Linked DNA regions of Canis lupus familiaris. The protein of the gene in region 2 binds, or shares a complex with, the protein of the main gene of each other region. Links are inferred from orthologs where the notes say so. Each region holds a gene or a part of one and is shown on either strand. Other genes may lie near its edges. The genes, in order: RAB14 and RAB11FIP1.

The links.
Region 1: the proteins of RAB11FIP1 (region 2) and RAB14 are in contact, whole or in part, in a crystal structure (PDB 4D0G), measured with the Homo sapiens proteins. The link is inferred for Canis lupus familiaris from reciprocal best matches to the Homo sapiens genes RAB11FIP1 and RAB14. Residues at the interface, in NP_001002814.2 of Homo sapiens: Glu1252, Ile1255, Asp1256, Asn1257, Leu1259, Val1260, Met1263, Pro1267, Asn1268, Leu1270, Arg1271, Ile1272; in NP_057406.2 of Homo sapiens: Leu28, His29, Ile44, Gly45, Val46, Glu47, Phe48, Gly49, Trp65, Arg72, Arg74, Ala75, Val76, Ser79, Tyr80.

What each region holds. Positions count from the first base shown.
Region 1 is NC_049232.1:74,589,352-74,601,131, forward strand, and holds the start of RAB14 (ras-related protein Rab-14), read right to left. Parts: upstream 5,690-11,780; 5' UTR 5,605-5,689; intron 4,996-5,604; exon of another isoform or gene 4,703-4,995; intron 1-4,702.
Region 2 is NC_049237.1:28,235,508-28,247,196, reverse strand, and holds the start of RAB11FIP1 (rab11 family-interacting protein 1), read right to left. Parts: upstream 6,532-11,689; coding exon 6,155-6,531; intron 1-6,154. UniProt on the Homo sapiens protein: A Rab11 effector protein involved in the endosomal recycling process. Also involved in controlling membrane trafficking along the phagocytic pathway and in phagocytosis. Interaction with RAB14 may function in the process of neurite formation.

The DNA.
Region 1 (11,780 bases), on a different chromosome or scaffold from region 2:
CCTGCTTGACATGTAGCACTTTCATAATCAGTCTTCAACATCACTGAAAACTCCCTTAACCAGTTTGTTCAGGAAGGGAGTTTCTCTAGTTAGATTAACTGATTCTGAACACCATCATAATTTTTTTCTCTTTTCCCAGACACTAGGGATGCAAAACTTTTAAGAATGAACTTGGTCCTGAGGCTAAAATTGGTGTGGGTTATTCACCAGATATCCAAACCAGATCCCAAACACAAGGAAAAAAAATAATCTTTCACAATAAAAATGTTAAAGATTATTATGTTCTTCACCTGCATTCTTCCCAGAACCCTATAATTAATTTTTAACTTCTTTTTTAAGCTCCTCTTTTCCCATTCAAACTTGAGGAAAAGGAATTAGTCACCTTAAAATTAGTTTCTTTTATGCTCTTCCTCTTCTGATTTTCCCATTTCCTTTCTCTCTTCTTACCCAAAGCTGTAGCCATACACACTTTTTGCTTCCTTCCATTTTATTATGTTAAAACCAAGGCCTCTAACAATTCTAATTTCTCCTTGAAATGCTCTAAAGGTTAATCATAAAATTATAAGCCAATTCTAGTTGTATTAATTTGTGTACTTGCTAATTACCACAAAAGCATTTATTAAATATCTACAAGATGACTAATTTTAAAACATTTTAAAAAACTGCCAAGCATTAATTAGCATAAACTATTCCCAAATAAAAGACAATGATCACTTTTTCGGAGTAAATACTAGTACCCTGTCTTCACCTCAAAACACAACTTTCTGGTTCAAGTTTCTTAAAAATGAACCCTAAAGGCAAAGTTAAAAGGGAAAGCTACTCAAGTTTAATAATTTCAGTAGACAATGAAAGGCAGAAAATATCTAGCACTGTAGCCACTAACACAACAGGTCCTCCCTCTCTTATTATAAGCTAAGATACTAGCTAGGTTTAAATATACTCCCACAGCTTATTGGTAACATTCACTCAAAATTATGTATTTACATTAAAACTATATTGGAGTTGCCCCTTTTAAATATTAACCAATGCTTAATTAGTATTGTCCTAAAAAAGGATTTCTCAACATCATTTCTTGAACATGAATGAAACATACCACTGTTAAGGTGAGGAATGTACTTTTTACCCAGATTTGAAAGAGGAAAAAAGTTTTCTATTATCTAAGAATGCTTTTTGCTTTACTCAAAAGTCAAAAAAAAAAAAAAGGGGGGGGGGAGAAAGGGGGTAAAAACTGTCGGTCTAGTTCAAATCTCTGAAAACATGAGTTCATTCAACACTAAAATCTCCACTAATTAAAAAACCTTGATAATATTTCATAACTTGTGCACAGCTACTGGTGAAATTAAAATGTGTTTTCCATGTGTTAGAAAAGTATGAAAATAAAATTCATATGCAGATAAGATCTCCTTCAATGCTTCTGGTTTCCTTATGTAAAAAGTACTCCTTGCAGACAATAAGCACCATTAAATACAGATGAACAACCTGCAAACTAGTAAACAATTGTTACAGTTACCATTTATTGAGTACTTAATATACACCAGGGCAATGTGCTAAACATTTTACATGCAATCTCAATTAATCCTTACTACGGCCTTATAAAACAGTGACTATAATCCTCATTTTACAGATGAAGACTCAACAGGTAAGTAACATGTCCAGGTCACACAGCTAAGTGGTCAAGCTTATACTGAACCTAAGACTGTTTTTAACTGCAGAGAACCCCCTCTTATTCACTACACCATCTGGCCTCCTTCATAGTTAAGGGATGCACCATGAAACCCTTTGGTGGTACTTTGGGACACAGACCTTTCTCACTTGGTACTAATATAATACTTCAGTCTTAAAAAATTATATTTAGAGGATATAATCAGGATTTGTAGATATGAATGATAACACTAATTCAAGTTATATCCACTTAAAGTTTCTGAAGGTAACAACATTTGTTTAGAGTAAACCGTGTGATGATCATCAGTACTTTTCCCTTCATATAATTCTTACTTAATTCTCACAACTCTGCAGTCATTATGTCCATGCAAAAACTGAAGAAATTGAAGTTTAGAGAAATTCATTAATTTGGCCTGTGTTACAAAAATAGTAAATGGCAGAGCTGGAATCTGAACCCAGGCCTGACTCCAAAGAACATGATTTTCTCTAAGGCGGGTTATTAAAAGCATATATGTATGTGGACTGATATACATACATATGTAAACTGATAAAACCAAAACAGGGCGCCTGGGTGGCTCAGCAGTTGAGCGTCTGCCTTCGGCTCAGGGCACGATCCCGGGGTCCTGGGATGGAGTCCCATATAGGGCTCCCCACTGACAGCCTGCTTGTCCCTCTGCCTGTGTCTCTGCCTCTTTCAGTGTGTCTCATGAACAAATAAAACTTAAAAAAAAAAAAAAAAAATCAAAGAAAAATGGAAGATAATTACACGAAATATTTAGGGTCAGGCCTTACTATCACTGCATGTAAAACTTAGCACTAAACTTCTTGTCAAGACTAATGATTACTACATGCATACCAAACACTGATGATTGTGGTGTAGTCCCTTTAAATATTAACTATGCCTAATACTCCTTTAACAACGGATTTTTTGAGATTAACATTAAATCTTCAACACAAGAAACACCCTTAAGGTAAGGAATATATTTTAAAATGGGGTATGCTACTGCATCAAACTGCATGTTTTTCACTTAACAAAATCATGGATCCATTTCCAGGCCAATACACAGAGATCTACATGGTTACTAAATACACATTAAAGACAAATCATTGTTGCCCCCAAAATAAAGTCGCATGGTCTCCATATAGTTAGATACATCTCCAAGTGAAATTAAACAGATATATAAATGACTGTATTTGAAATGTGCATGCAGACGAGAAGGTTAAGGACCTTTCATACACTCTGCTTACAAGAGTCTGAATTGCCACATTTTTTTGGGAAGTAAACAATATATTTTAAAATCTTAAAGATAATCCCAATCAACTGTGACCAAGAAGTAGCCTACAGATACAAGATCTTCAATCCATAAGGTTATAGGTCCAACTGCATCTAATGCAGTACTTATACAGCAAACAAAACAAAACCCAAAACCAAAAAAACTGGAAACAATCTATACTTCTATCAACAGGGAAATGACTAAAGTATCATGAAATAACATGCTTCTAGTTTAAAAACCATTCAGAGATGGATAATAAACTTAAAAATATATCCATGATTTTTAAGTGGAAAAAAAAAAGTTGATAGAATTTTATGCAGTGGCATATCCCATTTTTAAACACACACACATACACACACTCTCCCTCAAACCTGTATACAGATAATATGGAAGGATACACACCAAATTGTGAAAAATGAGTATGTGGACTGAGAAGAAAAAGGATAGGGAGAAATTATTAACTTTATATAACTCTATTAACAGTGTAAGCATGTGCTATATTCACTGGTGATATTCTAAAGTATTCAAAGTAGATAAAGAACTATTCTAATACAAAACAAACAAGAATCAACAAAAACAAGCAGCGCCTGGGTGGCCCATTCAGTTAAGTGGTCAACTCTGGACTTTGGCCCAGGTCATCATCTCAGGAGTCGGCTTGAAGATTTTCTCTCCCTCTGCCCCAGCCCCAGCCCCAGCCCTACTCACATGCCTTCAATCTCTCTAGAATAAATATTTTCCAAAAATAAAACAACTCCCATTCATAATAGTTCCAACATTACTTACACATTTACAATAATATGGGGAAATTCATAATAATATGGGGAAAGTCAATCATATGATCGGCCTCAAAAAACACACTCCGAAAATTGACAGCATTTTTTCTTTTTTAATACCTTGGCTTTTACTGTGTTCACTCAGGCACTACGTCTGACTAATCCTCTCACAACCATTAAACGGCTATTTTATTCTACTTCTTAGGACGAACGATGCTACGATGTAATTTTTACATAACTTATTCAAGACAACACAGGACAAAAACAACCCACAAAGATTCCAGGTGATTTACATTCTGATCCTCATTATTAACATTACTAAGCTTGGTTTGGGGTTTTGCTACACGTAAGACATCTCGTTATAGACACAGAACTGGACCGAGCGCCCAAAAGCACTGTGATCCCAACACGGAAATCCTTGTTGAGCATCTGCGAAGCACAGAGTCTGCGTGAGGCTTTGACAAGGCAGGAGCGACCAAGAGGAGCGTCGCGCCCGCCTCCCGGAGACTTAGCGGCGGTCGGACTCGCTAACAGGCTGTGCCGGGGACACAGTGTAGACCGGTGCTGTGCTCGGGGAATCCGAATGCGCGGTCTCAGCAGTAACGCAACCTCGGAGAAGAGCCCACCCATTCTGACCTCCACTTTAAAAAACTCACTCTTGGCAGGACAGTCAATGTCACATCTTTGCATCAACTAATACAAGAAAAAGAGCCGGGTTTCTACTGTGCCACGAGCAGGGCAGTTCTGCCGTCATGGCCGCAGCCTAGGAAGAAAGTGCTTGGGCGCCGCAGCCGTGCTTCAAGGGCAAGAACCAGCCAGGGGCCCGCACCTACTTTACTACAAGCACTAAGAGGGCCAGAAACGGCCAAAGTTTCACTGATGAAACGTGATGTCTGAAGGGAACGGTCCTCAAAGCAACGTGGCGGGGGGGGGGGGGGCGACCCCGACACTCCCGGGACCCCCCCGCACACGCTGGAAGCTACGCCCTCAAGTTCCGAGGCGCAGCCCGTCCGCGCGCAGGCGTGTCTCGGCCGCACCAGACGTCCCGGGCTCCGGCGTCCTGCCTGGGCCGAGGCCGCTCCCGCGGAGCCCTCTCCTACCGCGGTTACGTAAAGACGCTCGCGGCGGGACGGGCCCGGGCTGGGTCGTCAGAAGCAGAGACTTGAAAGACGTCGCTTGAGCCTCAAGAATCTGGGGCCGTTCGGCTTTAGAGGAGCCTCCCGCGGCCTCCCGCGACCGCCTTCCCTCCTCTGCAAGCAACGACTGACCTTACACCCGCCCTGCAGGTGAGGCGGCGAGGCCGGAGGGCGCGGGGGCTCGCGGCGGGGGGCGCCGGGGGCGGGGACGGGGACGCGGACCTCGCAGCCCCCAGCCCGGGCCCGACCGGGCCAAGCGGAGCCGGCGCAGTCGGCAGCCAGGGCCACCGGCGACGGGCTCCCTGCTCCGCCGTCTCCCCTCCAGTCCCAGAAACGCTCAAAACCCACAACTTTTTGTCGCCTTCACGGCGGGCCGACGCCACCCAAGCTCGGCGCCGTCCGGGCCGCCCCGGCCCTCAGCAGCCGCGGCCCTCAGCCTCCCCGGCCCTCAGGGCCCTCACCGCCCCGGCCCTCCGCCGCGGCCCCGCCGACAAGGACACCGAGCCCCGCCGCGCCGGCGAGGCCTCCAGCTGCCGCCTTTGTGCCCGGGCCCACGCGGGCCGGCGCCGGGGCCGGGGCTCCACGTCCGGGCTCGCGGGGGCGGCGGCGGCCGGCCGCACACGCCCTCGCCCGCGCCCTCGCCCGCGCCCCCGCCGCCCCCGCCCCCCGGCCGGCCCGCCCGCGGCGCCCCCGCCCCCGCCCCCCGCCCCCGCGCCAGGCGGCCGCGGCCCGACGGACGCTGCGGAAGGCCCGGCTCACCTGGGGGGTTGCTGGTGGCTGGGCAGCTTTCCGGGCGGGCGGGGGGCGTCAGGACGAGGAAGCGGGCGCGGCGGGCGGCGCGGGCGGGCGGGCGGGCGGGCGGGCGGCCGGGGCCCCGGGGGCGGCGGGCTGGCCGACGAGGTGCAGGCGCGCCGGCGGCAGCGGCGGGGGCGGCGGCGACGGCTCCGCGGCTCCCTCAGGATCTCCTCGGGCAGGTCCAAGATGGCGGCGCTCCCTGCACAGGGTTTCCTGTCACCCTCGCAATGGGCCGGACCACAAAAGAAGCGGGGGGAGGAGGCTGCGCGCGCAGCCGGCGGGGCCCGGAAGACGGCGGCCGGCCCGGCCTGCTGGCCACGCCCCTTCCCCGCCGCGGCCCTCGGGACTCGCCGCGCGGCCGCCGAGACCCGCCCCGCGGGCGGCGGCGCCTGGAGGGGCGGAGGGCGGCGCTTGTGCGCAGGCGCAGCGGCCGGCGCCCGCTTCCCAGGGGCGCTCCTGCGCAGGCGCGCGCGGCACCTGCTGGGGGCGGGCCGGGCCGGGGCGGGGCGGGCCGGGCTCGGCGCTCGGTGGACCCTGCGGCTCCCGGCGCCCCGGCCCCGGCCCCGGCCCCCGCCCCCCCGCCCCCGCCTGCCGGACACGCCCGCGCCGCGCGCCCCACGCCGGGCACAGTCTGCTGCGCCCGCCCGCAGCGGGGCCCGAGGGCACGCGTCCCCGTCCCGCAGCCGCAGGAGGCTCTTGGCCCCATTGTACCGATGGCGAAACTGAGGCTCGCGTCGATCGAGCCGGGGGCCCGGGATCCAGCAGCCGGAACGTGGCGCTTCCCGTTGTGGGTCGCCTCTGCCCTCCGAGGGGCCCTGGGACGCGGGGCCCGAGCACCCCAGCACCCCGGCGCCTCCGGCCTGCCACCCTCCCGGAAGGCCCTGCGCAGCCGGCGGCGGGCGGCCCTCGGGGGACCCCAACGCCCGCCTGTGCCTGCGGAGACGGTTACGGGGATCGCCTGTTCCTGTACTTCTGTGTTCCTATTGTTAGCGTTTTACAGCTACGTTGGCGTGGAGAGGGATGTTTTAATGTCACACCGCACGACACTTTCTTTAACCTGGAAATTCATCTTTCCTTCCTGACTTTCAAAGCACTGAAGACATTTCTGCGGGTCCCCACGAAAGCATCGTGGGCCCCAGGCTCGGTGCTTCCGGTGGCTCAGGTGACGGCCCTGCCTCAGTTTACCCAAAGGAAGCTCAGGCTCTCGGCAGGAGGAGCTTTCAGAAGCTGGCTTTGCCTCGGCGACGGGACACTTCCTTGGAAAACCGTATGGCAGTTCACACATGTCTCATTTTCAGAAAGACCCGGCTGCGAATCCCTGATCTTCCACTTACTGATGACCCACGGCTGGGCACGTCCCTTGATTTCCCAGATCCGCAGTCTTTTCTGCAAAATGAGGATGATGATACCTATCACCCGTGGGTCCTTGTGAGCGTTAAATGAGGTGATATACACAAAGCGCTTGACATACGCGTTTTTAATACGTGGGAATGGCTATTAGGTGATAATCCGATATAAGGTTATGTTGAAATCCCTTCTGGCCCTGGAGGTCTATGCTTCTATTCCTGTATTCTTTATTTTTATTTTTTTAAGATTTTATTTATTTATTTATTTATTTATTTATTTATTTATTTATTCATTCATTCATTCATGAGAGACACAGAGAGAGACACAGGCAGAGGCACAGGCAGAGGGAGAAGCAGGCTCCATGCAGGGAGCCCGACGTGGGACTCCATCCCGGGTCTCCAGGATCACGCCCTGGGCTGAAGGCGGCACTGAACCGCTGGGCCACCAGAGCTGCCCTTCCTGTATTCTTTAATTCCAATAAGCATACTTTGTGCTCATGATTCAACATCTCTGAAATCAAGAAATTTGCAAAGGAAAGAAGGAAGCTGTGAACCATTTGGCATCACTTGTCCAGCTGTGAGCTTAGGTCTGGCCAGAACGTTTCACTATATCCACTTGTCCCCTTGGGTTGAAGACCTTCGTGACTAGCTAATGCTTCTTGCACACTCAGTGTGAAAGAGGAACTGACCTAAGAATCATGTATATTTTCTTATTTAATCTCTGCAACATCCCCGCACAGTCATTTTATGAATGAGAAAACTGGGTGTCACGTAAGTCAAAGACTTTGTAAAATACATAAAACTTGGCAGTGCTGGGAATTCAGGCACATGTGACTCCGGAGCCCCCATCCCCGAAGCACCGTTGTATTCTTTATCCCTTATTTCCTCTTGTAGCAGCTTAAGCGCCAATCCCTGATTGTCGCTTCAGTCTATGTGAAGACACTGCACCGGATGCAGCATCGACAAGCGTTGCCGTGAATGCAGCGTGCCTAGTCCACGCTCAGCAAGTGTTGAGGACTGTAGAAATGGTCGATGCTTGTAATAAGTCACAGAATTTTCAGAGGAGAGATTGTGTGTGACCAATTGCAACATAATTAGAACTGTCCATTGGATGCCTATCAGGGTTTCTAGTTAATTTTTTTTACAATTTTATTTATTTATTCATGAGAGACACAGAGAGAGGCAGAGGCACAGGCAGAGGGAGAAGCAGACCCCATGCAGGGAGCCCGACGCGGGACTCGATCCCGGGACCCCGGGGTCACGCCCTGGGCTGTAGGCGACGCTAAACCGCTGAGCCACCCAGGGATCCCCTAGTTAATTTTTTTTTAAGGCTTCTGCTTATGTGAAAAGAGACGTATAGACGAAATAGCGAGTGCAGCGCTGCTTGTAAAAGACTAGAGACCAACTCTCACCAAAGAGCTGTTGTAATACATTTTAACCTACCCACACCGTGGAGAGTGTGCAGCAATTAAAGACTGAAGCACACATGTGTGTCCTGATATGGAACAGCCTCTAAGAAATACTTCAAATGAAAAAAAAAAACGAGGGAGAAAAGCAAACAGTCTGCCAAGACTTGTTCAACTATGAAAGGGGCACGAATATGTATATGTGTGTAAATGCACATCGAGAGGGGTTTTTCCTGTTGTCCTGAAACTGCTGCTGAAGCCCAGCTCTGAAAACCGAAACGTCCATAAGGAGCCCACTGCCGGTGGTTGGAACTAGCTCTCTCCCAGGAGGACATTTGAGGAGCCATTGTTCGGGAAACCAGCCCTCCTGCCAACCCCTACCTCCACCCTGCTACTCCCCACCTCTTCTCCATTCCCATCCTCTCTCCCCACAGACAAACCATCACCCCTCATCAGTGGGAAAAATGGAGAGTTGAGAGGGAAGTCAGGTTTTAGGAAAGAACAATGCTCTGGAAAGAGGCTCATCCCTCCCTCTCCCTCCGTGGGGGGTGGTATCCCTTCCTAGGGGCGAGGGACGGGGGCTCCACGGGATCACCAGTGGAGCTTGGGCGTGCCTATAGGAAGCGGAGGCTGGCAGCCCCCCAGGTACCCATTTGGCCATTGGACTTACCAATATGCTCTGCCCCATTGTACCCTTGGCAAAGGAAAACACGAGAGCGAGACCACATTGCAGGGGCTTCGGATGGGGAAGGATGGAACCTGCCCCACCAACCCGCTCACACCTGGACTCCTCAGTCCCAGATTGGAGGGCAGCAACGAGGTCGTCCTCCCGGGGTGAGGCATAGATGACACGGGCTAGCAGTCAGCTGGAAGAGAAACGTATGAGGGCTCAGCCGTTCCTGGGGAGATGAGTGGGGCACTCCGGGCACTGGTGCTTTGTCGTGTCTACTCGTTCTTGTTGCATCTCAACCTATTTATATTTTCATAATTTCTTTTGTAAAAATAGATGTTTTCCTATTCTTTTTTTCCAAAGGCTAAAAATCTGAAGTTATTTTCAGATCTGTCTATTGTGTTTATTTAAACCAAATTAGTTCATCTCCTTGTTGGTCTTAAAGGCTTAATTTTATTGGTTAATTTTGCTCATTTATTTTAGGGGTTTTGTTCATAGTTATATCTCGGATAATAGGTTCCCCCCCCACACACACTTACCCTTTTTTGTCTAGTGGTTTTGGAGCTGCCACTATAAACCATAGCCAGATATTAAAATATTGGTATTCCAACTCCTGGGTAATATTGAAGATACAGCAAAACCAACACAATTTATACTCTGAATTTTATTACTGTGTATGTGTGCTACCTAATTAGAGAACCTAATGTATTTTTTTAAGATTTTTAAAATTTATTTATTCATGAGAGACACACAGAAAGAGGCAGAGACACTGGCAGAGGGAGAAGCAGGCTCCCGGTAGGGAGCCCAATGTGGGACTTGATCCCAGGATCCAGGGTCACCCCTGAGCTAGAGACAGACGGTCAACCACTGAGACCCAGAATTTAATGTATTTTTAAGTGTAGTTGGTTGCTCTCTAGTGATACATAATTCAGTTAAGTAAAAACAAGCGAATAATAAAAAAATACTACTACATCGATCAATAACAATTGATAAACTTCAAAATTTAGCAGGTTGACAGAGAAGTAAAAATCAAGTACATAAGACTCGTTAGTTTCTGGGTAGGAGAAAGGAGTAGATGCAAATTCATAATACAAAAAAAGAAAATGATGCATAAATGTAAGGATAAGTATGTGTTCTACTCAATGGTAAAAGAAATGTTGTGACCATTAAAATAGCTCCCCTTCCAACATACCCATCCACCTTATACCAGTCGCCCCAAAATATAATCCTCGGACGTCACAGCTTTATTAGGGCGTGACTTCTAGAGTCAACAACAACGAACTTACATAAGGTGAAAAGTATGCTTGAAATTTCCCAGGAAAGCTCCGCACTAGAGACTGACTTACCCTCTCTTAGTTTTCCTCTAGCGTCAGATCTGATAGCCGTGGCTCTGGCTGACCACCTGAAGAGGCGGGTGGTTTAGAGTGGGAGCCGGGTTACCGGAGAAAACCTGCATCTTTGAACTTCAGACTCACACTCTGTGGCTAAGTGACCATGCTGTGAGCTCTACTAAAAAATAACAGATTTACCTCTTTTTTTTTTTTTAAAGATTTATTTATTTATTCATGATAGACATAGAGAGAGAGAAAGAGGCAGAGACACAGGAGGAGGGAGAAGCAGGCTCCATGCACCAGAAGCCTGACGTGGGATTCGATCCCGGGTCTCCAGGATCGCGCCCTGGGCCAAAGGCAGGCGCTAAACCGCTGAGCCACCCAGGGATCCCCCAGATTTACCTCTTTAATCAGAGACAGACTGGTATTTTAAATTTTCTTTATTTCTTCGCTGACCTTTACATTTTGTTGAAATAATGTAAGTTAAAAGCACGTGCGATGTGACACAAGTGTATCAGACTGGTGGTGACTGTCACCATGGCTCGAATTTGGCAGGTGCTGTCAAGAACTGGGATTTTACCCCAGTTGCAAGCTAAAAATGTGGCCTAACACGGTTTCCTTTTGTTGTTGTTTTTTTAGTTTTTGTTTTTGCTTTGGGGCCTAACGCAGTTTCCTGGATGGAAGCAGAAGACGTGAAACCCCTGGGTCAGAGACAAAGGACCGTATTGCCCACAACACTGCGTGCAGCCTGAACATCAGCACTTTTGCATCCGTCCTTGGCTGTGTGGACACACAGTGTGTCACAGTAAAGGAACTCCGCGCTTAGGGAAACCAGATCCTTCATGGCGGAGAGTGAGCATTTCTGTCCTTTGCTCTGGAGGGAAACTGTATCATCGAGGGCTGTTTGCTAAACAAACATAGTTGAAAAGTCGAAAAAATAGTGTGGGGCAAACGACGGTCAGTGCCTGTAGTCACAGGCTGTGCGGAAGCACAACCGTGGAGGGTTGTCTTCCACGGGGGCGAGACTTCATTGTGCACCTGCTGAGCGAGCGAGGGAGGCAGGGAGTCGAACACCTTCGCAATGAAAGACTGGTTTTGAGGGGCACCGTGACTTCAGCTCCATTTCTAGCAAACATTTTATTGGTTCTGGGATCTTAGTCATAGTCCTTAACTTCTCTGAGCCTCAACTACCTAATGGAATAATAAGTATATCCCAACGCAATCGTTGTTTAGATCTTCTGAGAAAGTGTAACTGAAAGCATCAGGCTCAGGATCTGGAATATGGGAAGCATTCCACAAATGCCCGATCCTTCTAGCCTTCCTTCATCTCTGCCCCATAGACGTGAAGCAGGTGCCAGAGCGTTGCGCCCGTCCCCCAAATCGGGAA
Region 2 (11,689 bases):
GATTTTGTTGGAATTCAAAGGCCCCCCGAGGCTTAGAGATCTGCACAAGACTCAGAATCAAAGACCACCCAAGGGATGGCTCAGGGATGAAGATAAGGCCTCTTATCACTTTCTCCGTTAGGCTAGGGCTTCTTAATCCTTCTGGAACTAAGCCACAGTGAGTGAGTGTAGAGCACAGAGCATGGTTTTCTAGGATGTATGGCAACTAAAATAATAGTATTTTAATGGATATCTAAGATTACTGTTAAGGGGGAAAAGAATAAGTTTAGCAAATCGATTCTGGAGCGGACATTTTAATAGCACGTGTATTGCTTTTAACATAATTATAACATTTTTTAGTTAATCACTACAATTAAAATGACACATCAGATACGATTTACAAAAACTTCCCTCTGACGGTAGTTAGGTAGTTACAGAAACACAATAGAGGTCTTTGTAACCAAAAGGAAGTTTAAGCAAAATGAAAAAGGCACAAGACTCCTTTGTACACTTACCTTCCCTAATGTGAAAAACACGTAAAGGGTTGACTTACTTGCCTCCAGAGTTTTATATTTCACTTATGGGTTTATTTTTCCTAATGTTATATATGATTTTTCTTCCTTTTTTAAGTCCTGTACTCCTTGAAGCAGTGACTCCATCAGCTGTGTTAGAGCCACCATTTAGATTTCATCAGCTACATAAACGATTACAAAACAAAGACTTGGCCTGTATTAAAACTGTAAATACTTGGGGAGACACACACACACACACACACACACACCCTGATTTCAGTAACGTTTCCTACTAATTCATTCCAATAGAAGATTTGACTCACAGGTGTCACTGCCCAAAGCTGTCTTTGTAATGGTGACCTCACTCTCGTATCACAGTGGCTGCTAGGGGAAAGAAAAGTGCCACCACTTCCTGGTTCATTTTCAACAGCAAGCTCTCCTTATTTTATTAGTTCATTTTCATCACTTCCTCTCTCTCACCCCCACCCACCAATCCATCAACAAACCAGGCCAACTGAACCTCCAAAATAATTCTGAAACCTACCACCTCTGTCTACCACATGGCCATCACCCTAGTGCAAGCCGCCACCATCAGTAGCCTAGATTAGTGCAACGGCCTCTCATTTTGTCGGATTCCAGGCTAGGGCTGCTTCAAATCCATTCTCTACCCAACAGCCACAGTGATTTTTGACTATTCCAGATCACAACACCCCTCTGCTTTTAATACTCAGTGACTTCCCATTGCTCTTAAATGAAGCCCTGCCTTCCTCTTCAGCCACAATCTACACAGTCTCTGCAGCTTCCCAGGTATTCCCACCTCAGGGTCTTTGCACAGGCTTCTCCCTCTACCTCAAGTTCCCTTCCTCTACTTTTCACCAGAAAAATCTGTTCGTGCTTCAGGTTCCTGCCTCCAAGAAGTTATGTGCCATCTCCTTCTTCAAGTCATATCCTTCCAGATCTATCCTCTATGACACCTGTTCTCTTCCTCTACTTATCACAATATATGATTATTTATTTATGGGTTCATCCATTTAAGGTCTATCTTCCCTACAGGGCTCTGAGCTTCCTGAAAGCAAGGATCAAGTCTGTTTTGGTCACTATTGTTTACACCTTAGTGCTGGGCACATAGTAGGTATTAAAAAATATTTACTAAAAATATAAGAAGGAGAGCTTACCATTTGCAACAGCATGGGATGGGCCTAGTAGAGGCTAAGTCTAGTAAGACAGAGCAAGACAAATACCATACAATTTCACTTATATGTGGAACCTAAAGACCAAAACAAATAGCAGAAATGGATTCATCAAGACAGAGAACAAAGAGGACGGTTGTCAGGGAGAAGGAAGTGGAGGGATGGGCAAAATGGGCAAAAGGGAGTGGGAGGCTCAGGCTTCTAGTTATGGAATGAGTAAGACGCGGGGATGAAAGGCACAGCATAGGGAACAGTCAGTGGTACTGTAATAGCATTGTACGGTGACAGATGGCAGTTACACTGATGGTGAGCACAACATGACGTACAGCACCGTCATATCACTATGTTGTACACCTGAAACCAATGCGATATTGCGTGTCAACTATACTTCAATTTTTAAAACGTACTATATATATACTTTTAAAGACAAAAGAAAAGGCAGTTGAAACTTTCCCCAAGCTAACTGAATGTCCTACAGATGAAATCATAATCAAATAAGACCATGAGGGAACATCTTTCACATCACCAGAACAGTGACTCTAAAGCACCCTCCTTCTTCGAAGTCACTGCATCCCGTGGCTATACACAGGTTAGGGTTACTTCTCCCAGAGCTGACCGAGAACTCAGGCTCCCAGCCTAAGCTATCATTTTCCTACACAGGAGTGGGAGGGGCCCCGGGAGAGGCAGGAGGATTTCTCCCCAGTGAGGCCCAATTTAATTTTAAGGAGAATCCCAAGAAAGGGAAAACCTAAGCGGTAACATTGTGCCAATTTTCCAATTTGTTACAAAAAAAAACAAAAAACAAAAACAACAACAACAAAAAAACCTAAATGCACTTCAGAAACTTGACAGTAGAAGCACCAAAACTGACTGCTTATTTATCTCTCGGCTCATCTAAATCGTTTCTCTGCATCCGACTCTTCCAGAAAAACAACTATTGAGTCCTTATTTCTTTTTTTTTTTTATTTCTTTTTAATAACCCAGATTTCCTTTTACAATTTAACTACAGCATCTTACTAACACAATTCTTCAAAATCTCTAACTTTATTAATAACCAGATCCTTTTATATGCAACCAAATTCCCTCTTGCATCTTTAAGAGATGTAAGAAAATGACTCTCCATCACTCACTCTCTCATCATGGCTGGAAGACTATTACAGCATTAAGTTTCATGATGTTAGTTACACAGTGGCCTTAGGGTCATCAGACTGAATGGATGTTTATTTTAATCAGTCCTGAACAGATTATTTCCCTATATTTTGTTGCTCTTCATATCCCAGAAAGTTTTTTTCCCCTTATGTCTAGGATCCCAAACTACATGAGACTAGAGAGCTGAGCAGAGAATCCTACATGGTTGGTCACCTTATGATTATAAGACTTTAACTGGTTCTCATTTAACCAAGACCCAACTATGACCTCAGATCTTTAAGAAGCAAGAATATGTGCAAAATTAATGCATTTCCATTTCCTCTTAATGATAAGGGTCATGTACTCTTCTCTATTTTTTTAAAAGATTTTATTTATTTATTCATGAGAGACACAGAGAGAGAGAGAGAGAGAGAGAGAGGCAGAGGCACAGGCAGAGGGAGAAGCAGACTCCATGTAGGGAGTCCGACGTGGGACTCGATTCCGGGACTCCAGGATCATGCCCTGGGCCGAAGGCAGGCACTAAACCACCGAGCCATTCAGGGATCCCCGTACTCTTCTCTATTAAAAGTATCCTACCTATATGTCAGCCTCTATTTGGTGTTTTGTTTTGTTTTTTTAAGATTTTTAATTTATTTATTCATGAGAAACAGAGAGACAGAGACACAGGCAGAGAGAGAAGCAGGCTCCATGCAGGGAGCCCAACGCGGAACTTGATTCCGGGACTCCAGAATCATGCCCTAGGCTGAAGGCAGGTGCTAAACCACTGAGCCACCCAGGGATCCCGTTTGGTGTTTTAAAGATGTGTCATCACACTAAATTTGAGGTCTGCAAAATTTGAGTCACGAAAAGCATAGTTCTCTTGCCTTCAAATGTATGATAGATGAGGGCTTATCAAGAGAACAAAGGGAAATTCTAGCACAGTTAGCTGTTAACGTCTTGAGTTTCTAGACTCTTCTTTGCTCAAGATTAACACACATGCATGCGTACACACAAATAAACCTAGAGACCAAAATTCAAGCTTTTGTTTGTTGCTGGTGTTTAATATCTAACATGGAGTCAAACCATTAATAACTAGTTCAAATGACTTTCCTAGCCTAACTAGTTTCTTTCTGGTAAACTTCTGCCTCTCAGTATATATCTCACTCTCCAAATCTCAGCTATCTTGAGCACCCAAGTGATGTACCAGGGCAGCAGAGAGGCTTGGTTTAACTAGGTTCCCTGGCACCTTGGAAAGTCCCAGGAAGCAGCAGATGGAAAGCTTGCAATTCCACGGGCTGCTAAGGGGGCCAAAGGAGACTTCCTTTGCAGTTATGGAAACACACATACCAACTAAGCATCACTTTCCTACAGGTTGATACTGTGACTAAGTAGTAATCAGCTCATACAATAGAGACGGGAGTAACAATGTAGGTTTAGGATTACATTGGAGAGGAAGACAAATGAAGATGCTGGAACCCTTCCTGAAATAGAGATCTTAAGGAGGCTGTCATTTCTCACAAAGCAGTAAAAGAACCTTTTGAGCTGTACACAGGCCCCAGTAATCCAGGAACCAGAAACATCTTATAAATATCAATTAAGCCTGGCAACAAGCTCCATGCATAAATAGGGAAATTTGGGTGTTTAGAGACCGAGCAGCCCGAAGCCTAACAATGAGTCAGGACCAGAGTGGGCACCAGAACCAGGAATCTGGAATCCTCATCTCTGGCTGGTACAGGAGATCTATCTTTCAAGGGAATAAAATGTTCACATGAGAAACAGCAGAAACAGATGATAATATCCGTGCATCTTGGGATGGAACAAGACAAAGGATGGCCAAATGGCACCCAGTTGAACTTGGAAAGGAAGCCAAGCCAAGGCCCCAAATGTTATTTAATCAAATGGAAAATTAGCATTGTTTCAGCGCCTCCTTAGCAAAGACTCTGCTCACCTTATGGCTTGTAAGTTAATGCCAAGAGATACCCTATCCATCCTCACCTCAAGGCGCTCTATTTTATCTGATTTGAATTCAGAAATGCCTATTCATCTTTGGCCAGATAAGTGAATCAGGTATTGCATTTGCAAGCATGCAAGCTGAAATTGGACCCACGATGCAGACAAGGGAGTCTGGTAACTTCCAACCCTCTGGCTTTTCCCATCCGCTTCACAAAGGAAGGTTAAAACCCCATTTATATCTAAAGCACCCAATGTGAATCCATGTGCTTCGCAAACAGTAGGAGATGTGGTAATATGACTGACTTGCATGTTTAAGGTCCAGCAAAGTAACCAATTAAGCTAAGGAGGCCAGCTTTTGGTACAGTACTCGAGCATAATCAAATGTTACATAATCAAACGTTCCATGGCAAACACCTGCACAAGAGAACAAATAAATGAGTAACACCTTGAAGTGAACTGGGTGAGGCCCAGCTTTCCCTGTGGGAGTGAGATACCCTAGCACACAACTCTAGACTGAGAAGCTACATGTGAGCAGCCATCCATTCAGAGCACGACCAGAGAGAACCTGACAAACTCCCAAAAACAAACAATGCCTACATGGCATGGCTCAGATGCCTCCCAGTTTTGCTCAGCCAAGGACTGACCCCGACTCCAACCAGCACTGGGAAGTCCTTACTGACTTGGGGCTCAAGGCAAACATGCCTAATAGTTTTCAGACTGGAAGTTAGGACCAAACCGTTCTAGCATCCTTTGGGGGGCGGGGATGGGGGTGGGAGGAGAAAAGGGGAAGAGAAAGAAGCAAATTCTCTTCACTAGCCATCTCTGGGCGGCCGGCACTCCCTAGTCCTCAGCCTCCACCCCGCAACGTCCGTGAGTGAGCCTCTAGGGCCAGAGTGTCTGCGGGTTCACCCTCCACCGGATCTTCTTCCCTGAGCCCGGGCCCACACGTTCGCAGCTCCAGGTCCAGGACAGTGAAATACCCAGGAAATGCCCAGGAGATCCGTATCCGACAACCACACCACCCACACTAGTAAGAAGAATTCGTCAGCCCACAAGTATCTTCCATTCATCAGAAATTCATTAAGTGCTTACTAAGTTCCGGGCGCTGAGCGACGTCGCGCAGATGCAGACACCCCAGGTGCTGGTGCTCCCCACCCCCGCCCCTCACGCGGGCCTCAAGGGAGCGCGCACCCGGGCAGGGCGGCGCGGGACGGCCTGGAGAAGCTGAAGCTAAGTGAGAAGGCCGCCGTCGCCCGGGAGAGCCCTGTCCCAAGGCCTCTCTCGGCCCGTGCCCCCGGGACACGGCGGCACGGTGACCGCCACGCCCGCTCTAGAAGGCTCTCGGCGCCCAGCCGCACGGCCCCCCGCCCCCCGCCCCCGGCGCGCGCTCACTGGGTCTTCCTGCGGCCCTGGTCCCGGTGCAGCTCCCGCAGATCCACCTCGGCCCGGCCCAGGAACTTGTCGAGGCCGAGCAGCGCGCGGTGCAGCACGGTGAGCTGCAAGGTGGCGGCGGCGGCGGGCGCGGCCCCGGCGGACAGCAGCGGCGGCAGCTCGAAGGTGGCCTCCTCTCGCCACACCGGCGCGCCCAGGCTGCGCTCCGACACCGAGGTGGCGTACTTCTCCTTGCCCACCTGGATCACCGCGTACGCGTCGCTCGTGCCCCCGGGGCCCTTGGCCCGCAGGCCCCGCGCCTGCAGCACCGTCACCTGCACGTGCGTCGGGGACCACACGGCCCCCGGGCCCCGGCCCGCCGAGGCCGCCAGAGACATGGTGACGGCGCCGCTGGGGATCGGAGAGGCCGGGAAGGTGGCGGCGCCCGGCCGGCTCTGCGGCCCGCCCCGCCGCCGCGGCCCCTTTAAGGCTTCCGGCCCCGCCCCCGCCCCGCCCCGCCCCGCCCCGCCCTCCGGGCCCGGGCCGCCCCGCCCCGCCCCGCCCCCGCCGCCCCGCCTCACCTGCCGCTCCCCACCCGGCCTCTGCGGCTCAGGCCCGAGAGTCCCGGGCGGGGGCCGGGAGCGGGGGCTCGGGGGATGCTGGAGCGAGAGGTGCTGGTACGGGACCAGGTCGCACGAGCCCGACCTCACTTCCAGGCTGGCCCCGCCAACGGGCGGGCGTGTGACTCGGCATGCATTGCTTCTCATCTTTTGGTCTCAGTGTCCTCACCCATAAAGTGAGATAACCATCACCTCGTGCAACTGCTTTAAAAATGATAACGTAGCCCGGCACATGGTGAGTTCTGGATCAGGAGGTGCCATGAAGGTGACAGTGAGCGCGATCCCACAGTCGCTGCTCTTTTGATCTGGGCCAGCCCGTGGTTTGCTCCGGGGGACTGCGGGAGCTGGGAGGGTGCCGATGGGTGGCGGAAGGAGGAGGATCCTTTGAGGGCCTGAAAAGGGGAAGGTGAGAGGGAAGGGGGCCGGTGATGAGGTGCTGTGGGAGTGTCCTACTTTGCTCTGCTCTCACCAAATAAGGTGAGGCTGAAAGGGTAAATTAGGGAAGAGGAATAAAGGAGGAACTGAAGATAGGGTTGCCAAACCCGGACATCTGGAGACCAGAGGGCCACCCTTGCTCCAGTAGCCCAGAGTCTCTTCCCTGCCCTTTATCCCTGGGGGCTTCCAGTCATTCACTTCCTTCTTCCAGATGTCCCTTGGATGGGCAGTTTCCCTTCATTCCCAGGTCCTGCTGACTGCAGGACTTCACTCACATTTCCCCCCATGGTTTTGCTTCCAGGGGGACCAGGTGGTGACTTGGTTAAGGTGTCTCTTCCATAGCCCCCCGGCAGAAACCTGGGTACATGCACCCCAAGTGCTCAGGAAGTGCTGTGGAAGTGAAGAGAGAGTGTGCAGTTTATTCTGGCCAACCAGGAGCACACAGTGTTTCCTTTTACCCTGGAGGACATTACAAGATGCATTATGCCTCAGGTTTGCAACTGAGGGTGGCTACCATGCGGGAAAGACCTATTCCATACATTGTAAATATGCAATGGTGATAAAAAGGAGGCACCAGACAGGTAAGTGATGGAAAAGCCTAGCAGAGCTCTGTTATTTTGTTGCCATTTCCGTATCTTGACCATCTGTTGATGTCATTCAACCTCATGGCCCCATTCATTACCATAAAAATATATTGAGAACTTACTTGGTACCCAGTATGTGCTAGGAGCTACAGAGGGCACAAAGCCCTAAAACAAGATCCAGTTCTGAGGCACATCATGACAAATGCTATAACGGAAATCCTACACTAACAAAATGCTTTGGGGGTTTTGAGGTTGGAGTGATTTCTCTAAGCAGGTGGATTTTTATGAAGACATTGAGCTGAGCCCTAAAGTAAAGCATATACCAGATTTGACAGGCAGAGAGGGGGTGGTGTGGGGGAAGAGCATTTCAAGGGAGAGAGAACAGAACAGTCTAAGCAGATATAGGAGCCGGAGAGTTCCCAGCATGTTCAGGGGTTAGGAGCACCCCATTGGGGGCCAGAATGTGGGATATCTTTGGAGGGCACTGTGGGTGGATGGTAGGGATAAGACAGCCAAGGTAGGTAGGCCTAGATCACGTAGCTCATGAACACCAGGCTAAGGGGTTTATGCCACAGCGTTAGGCCAGGGTGAGCCAGCCCTCAGAGGATTTTGAGCAGTGGTGTGATGAGGCTGTGCTTCATGCTGTAAGGCAGGTGTGAGCAAAAGTAGCCCAGCAGCCAGCATTGGGGTGGGGGGTCAGAGCTAGATGCCTTCATTTTCACCTGGGGACTATCTGCCTCTGGCCCCACTCTACCACTTATCCATCCTTGGAGTCTGTTCCAAGTTGGAACTGTAGTCAATAAGGCACTTATTCCCCTCCTGGTTTTCCTACCTGTGCACTGCTCCACTACCTCCCTGCTGGACAGAGTCCAAGATTTGGGGTCAAGACTGATCCCCTGTGAGTGAAGTTTTTCAGCTCTCATCTCCTGTCCTCCCCCACACTCACATTGTTCATGCTGCCCCACAGTGAAGATAGCAAGGATTGAAAGCCAGCTGGTCAGCCTCATAGGCTGAGTATGACCCAAAGCATCCCTTCCATTCATGGAAAGGATGAGAGGACAAAGGAAGGGAACAAGGGGGAAGGAAAAACTATAATACCTTGTGACCTCATGTGTTTGGGTTTCTGTCAAACACATATAGGCTCTAAGGTTAAAGCAGAGGTTGTAGATTGGGGGAGGGAAAGGCTGTTCCACCACCCACAGGAAATCAAGATCCTTCCAGACACTGGACACTTGCAGAGGTTAACTCAGAGGAGTGGGGCTCATGAGAGGCAGGAATTGGAAATACGTCAGGGTAGAGAGAAGCCAGGAGCTAGAGCACAGGATGTACTTGATGCTAAATGGCTTGGTGGCTGTTTTCTCCCTTCCTCCAGCCAGAGCTCTTTGTCCCTCAAAACTCATTTGCTGACCCCCCGGGAGTAAGTCTGTTGTCTTCCAATTTTATAGCCCTACAGTCCAGGATGGGAGGTGTGCAGGTGCAATGACAAGGACCACGAGAGGGCTGGTGCTCCACTGTGCCCTGTTCCCCACCTGCCCTCAGCAGAATCCACCTGGGCATCCCTTCCACCCTCTCCCACAGGCCAGGCCGTCCTGGGGCAGCTGACCCCTCGCAGGTTCACTGCATTCCAGGAGTGTTTATAAACACCTCCTACAGCCAGGGTGTGGTGAGTTGACTTCTCATTCCTCTCACTGGCCCGCCTCTAGCCCTGACTGAAAGAGGAGAAGAGTTTCTGTTGGCCCTGAGCACGTGGGCAAGGTGCCTGGCAGGTTGGACTGGACAGATTAGCCACCTCGCCTCCTCCCAAAGCAGTAGAGTGTGCCTGGACTCCCAGACACCAGCTGTGCAGTTAGATGACCAGTGCAGATTTGCTGTTAGGAGCAACCAAGAAGTCTCCCAGGAAAAGACATAGTATAGAGCCGTGCTGGGAGTGGGGAGGAAGGGCAAGCAGAATGAGAGATGTTTGCCACCCTACCACTGCCAATCACTCCTGCCCGCTGCTCCTCAGTACATCCCCAACTGCAAGAGATCTAACCAACAGACACCCCCACCCCGGGCAGAGGGGACACGTGGGTGGCTCATTCAGTTAAGCCTCTGACTCTTGGTTTCAGCTCAGGTCATGATCTCAGAGTCATGAGATCAAGCCCTGCATGAGGCTCCACACTCAGTGTGAGTCTGCTTATCCTTCTCCCCCTGCTCGTTCGTGCTCTCTCTCTCTCTCTCACTCTCTCTAAAAAAAAATCACCTCTGGGGACTCGGAATGGACTAGTGTGCTGTCCTAAGGGAGGAGAAGAAAGAGGCTGGTAATGGTTGCTTGTCTTTCTCCTTTGCCTTGCACTCTGGGGTGTGGTGACAAACGTCCACACACATGACTCATTCACTGGAGCCCTTGGTAAACAGCCTTCTGGCTTCCCCAGGTCCAGCTGCCTCAGACTCTCACCCACTTGGCTGACCAAGGAGACTACTTTCCAGATGTCGGCTCTGGGTGCTAGGGGGCTTCTGCCTCAGGGATCACGAGCCAGGGGAGCAAGCCCCCAACACCAGGCTCTCTTTCCATTGCCCCAGGGGGTGTGGCAATGTGGAAGTTAAAACTATAGCCACACTGGGGTGTCTGGGTAGCTCAGTTGGTTAAGCATCCAATTCCTGGTTTCTGCTCAAGTCCTGATCTCATGGATTGGGGGATCAAGCCTGGTGATGGGCTCCACGATCAGTGGGGAGTCTGCTGCAGATTCTTTTCCCCTGCACCTCCTCCACCACACGTGCACATTCTCTCTCAGACTTTCAAATAAATCTAAAAACAAAAAACTAAACAAAACGAAACAACTATAGCCACACAGGACAAAGGATGGTCTCAAAAGCAAATGGCTACGTTTCCCCCTTTGCCCCTATTACTTTGTTTAACAAAATTTGCATCGTAGATAATACAAAATTTGCCAAGTTTCTTCACGGAAAGCCCTTGAGTCTTACAACTACAGTCTTATAGACTGTAGAGAGAGATTGTGGGTCCCTTACCTCCCCTTTCTTTACTAAGCCTTCCCCTGTGCCTCTCCCATTTAGAATTGCTTCTGATTTCTTTTTTTTTTTTAAGATTTTATTTATTTGAGAGAGAGCAAGCACAGAGGGAGAGGGAGAAACAGCCCCCCCTCCCCCCACCAAGCAGGGAGCCTGATGTGGGGTTCAGTCCCAGGACCCTGAGATCATGACCTGAGCTGAAGGCAGGCGCCTAACGGAGCCACCCAGTTGCCCTGCTTTGAGTTTCCTAGCTTATTTCTTATACTCAGATTCAGCACTGGTTTTATTGGCCTGTAAGCATCCCAAAGGCAGGAAATGTGGTCCTCACTATTTCTGGCTCTCCCAAAGTCTTGCCAACAGAAGGCAGGTCAGATTAAGTAGAGAGGCATAGATGACTTTGAACCCTTCAGTCTCCCTCCAGTCACGGCCACTTTTAGCACTACCCGATATAACCATCTTTCAAAAATACAGATTTATTGTTTCTGATTATAAAAGAAATATGTGTTCATCATAGATGCAAGCCTTCACCTTTCCAGAATCGGTTTCATGACATACAAGAAGAAAGCAGAAGTTCTGAGGCATTTATTCCTTCTTGAATCGTCCCATTGGAGCTACCCCCTCAGGGTCTTGTTCTCCTTCCAGCCTCTTCCATGTAAGCCATGAGCCTCCACTGTCTCAACTGCTGGGGCCCCCGGACACAGACCTGCAGAGGCAGAGCTGGCCAAGAGGTATTTCAAGCAGCTCCACCACCCCCCTTCTCTTCCTTTTGGACGCCACAGCACATGGTACAAGGCTGATGGGTATGTTGACTTTTGAGCCTAAGGAATTATAATATAGCCCTGGAAGTCTCAAGGCAAGCCCAGTGTTTGACAATTCACCAATTCCAAGGCTGGGGTGCGGGTGGACTG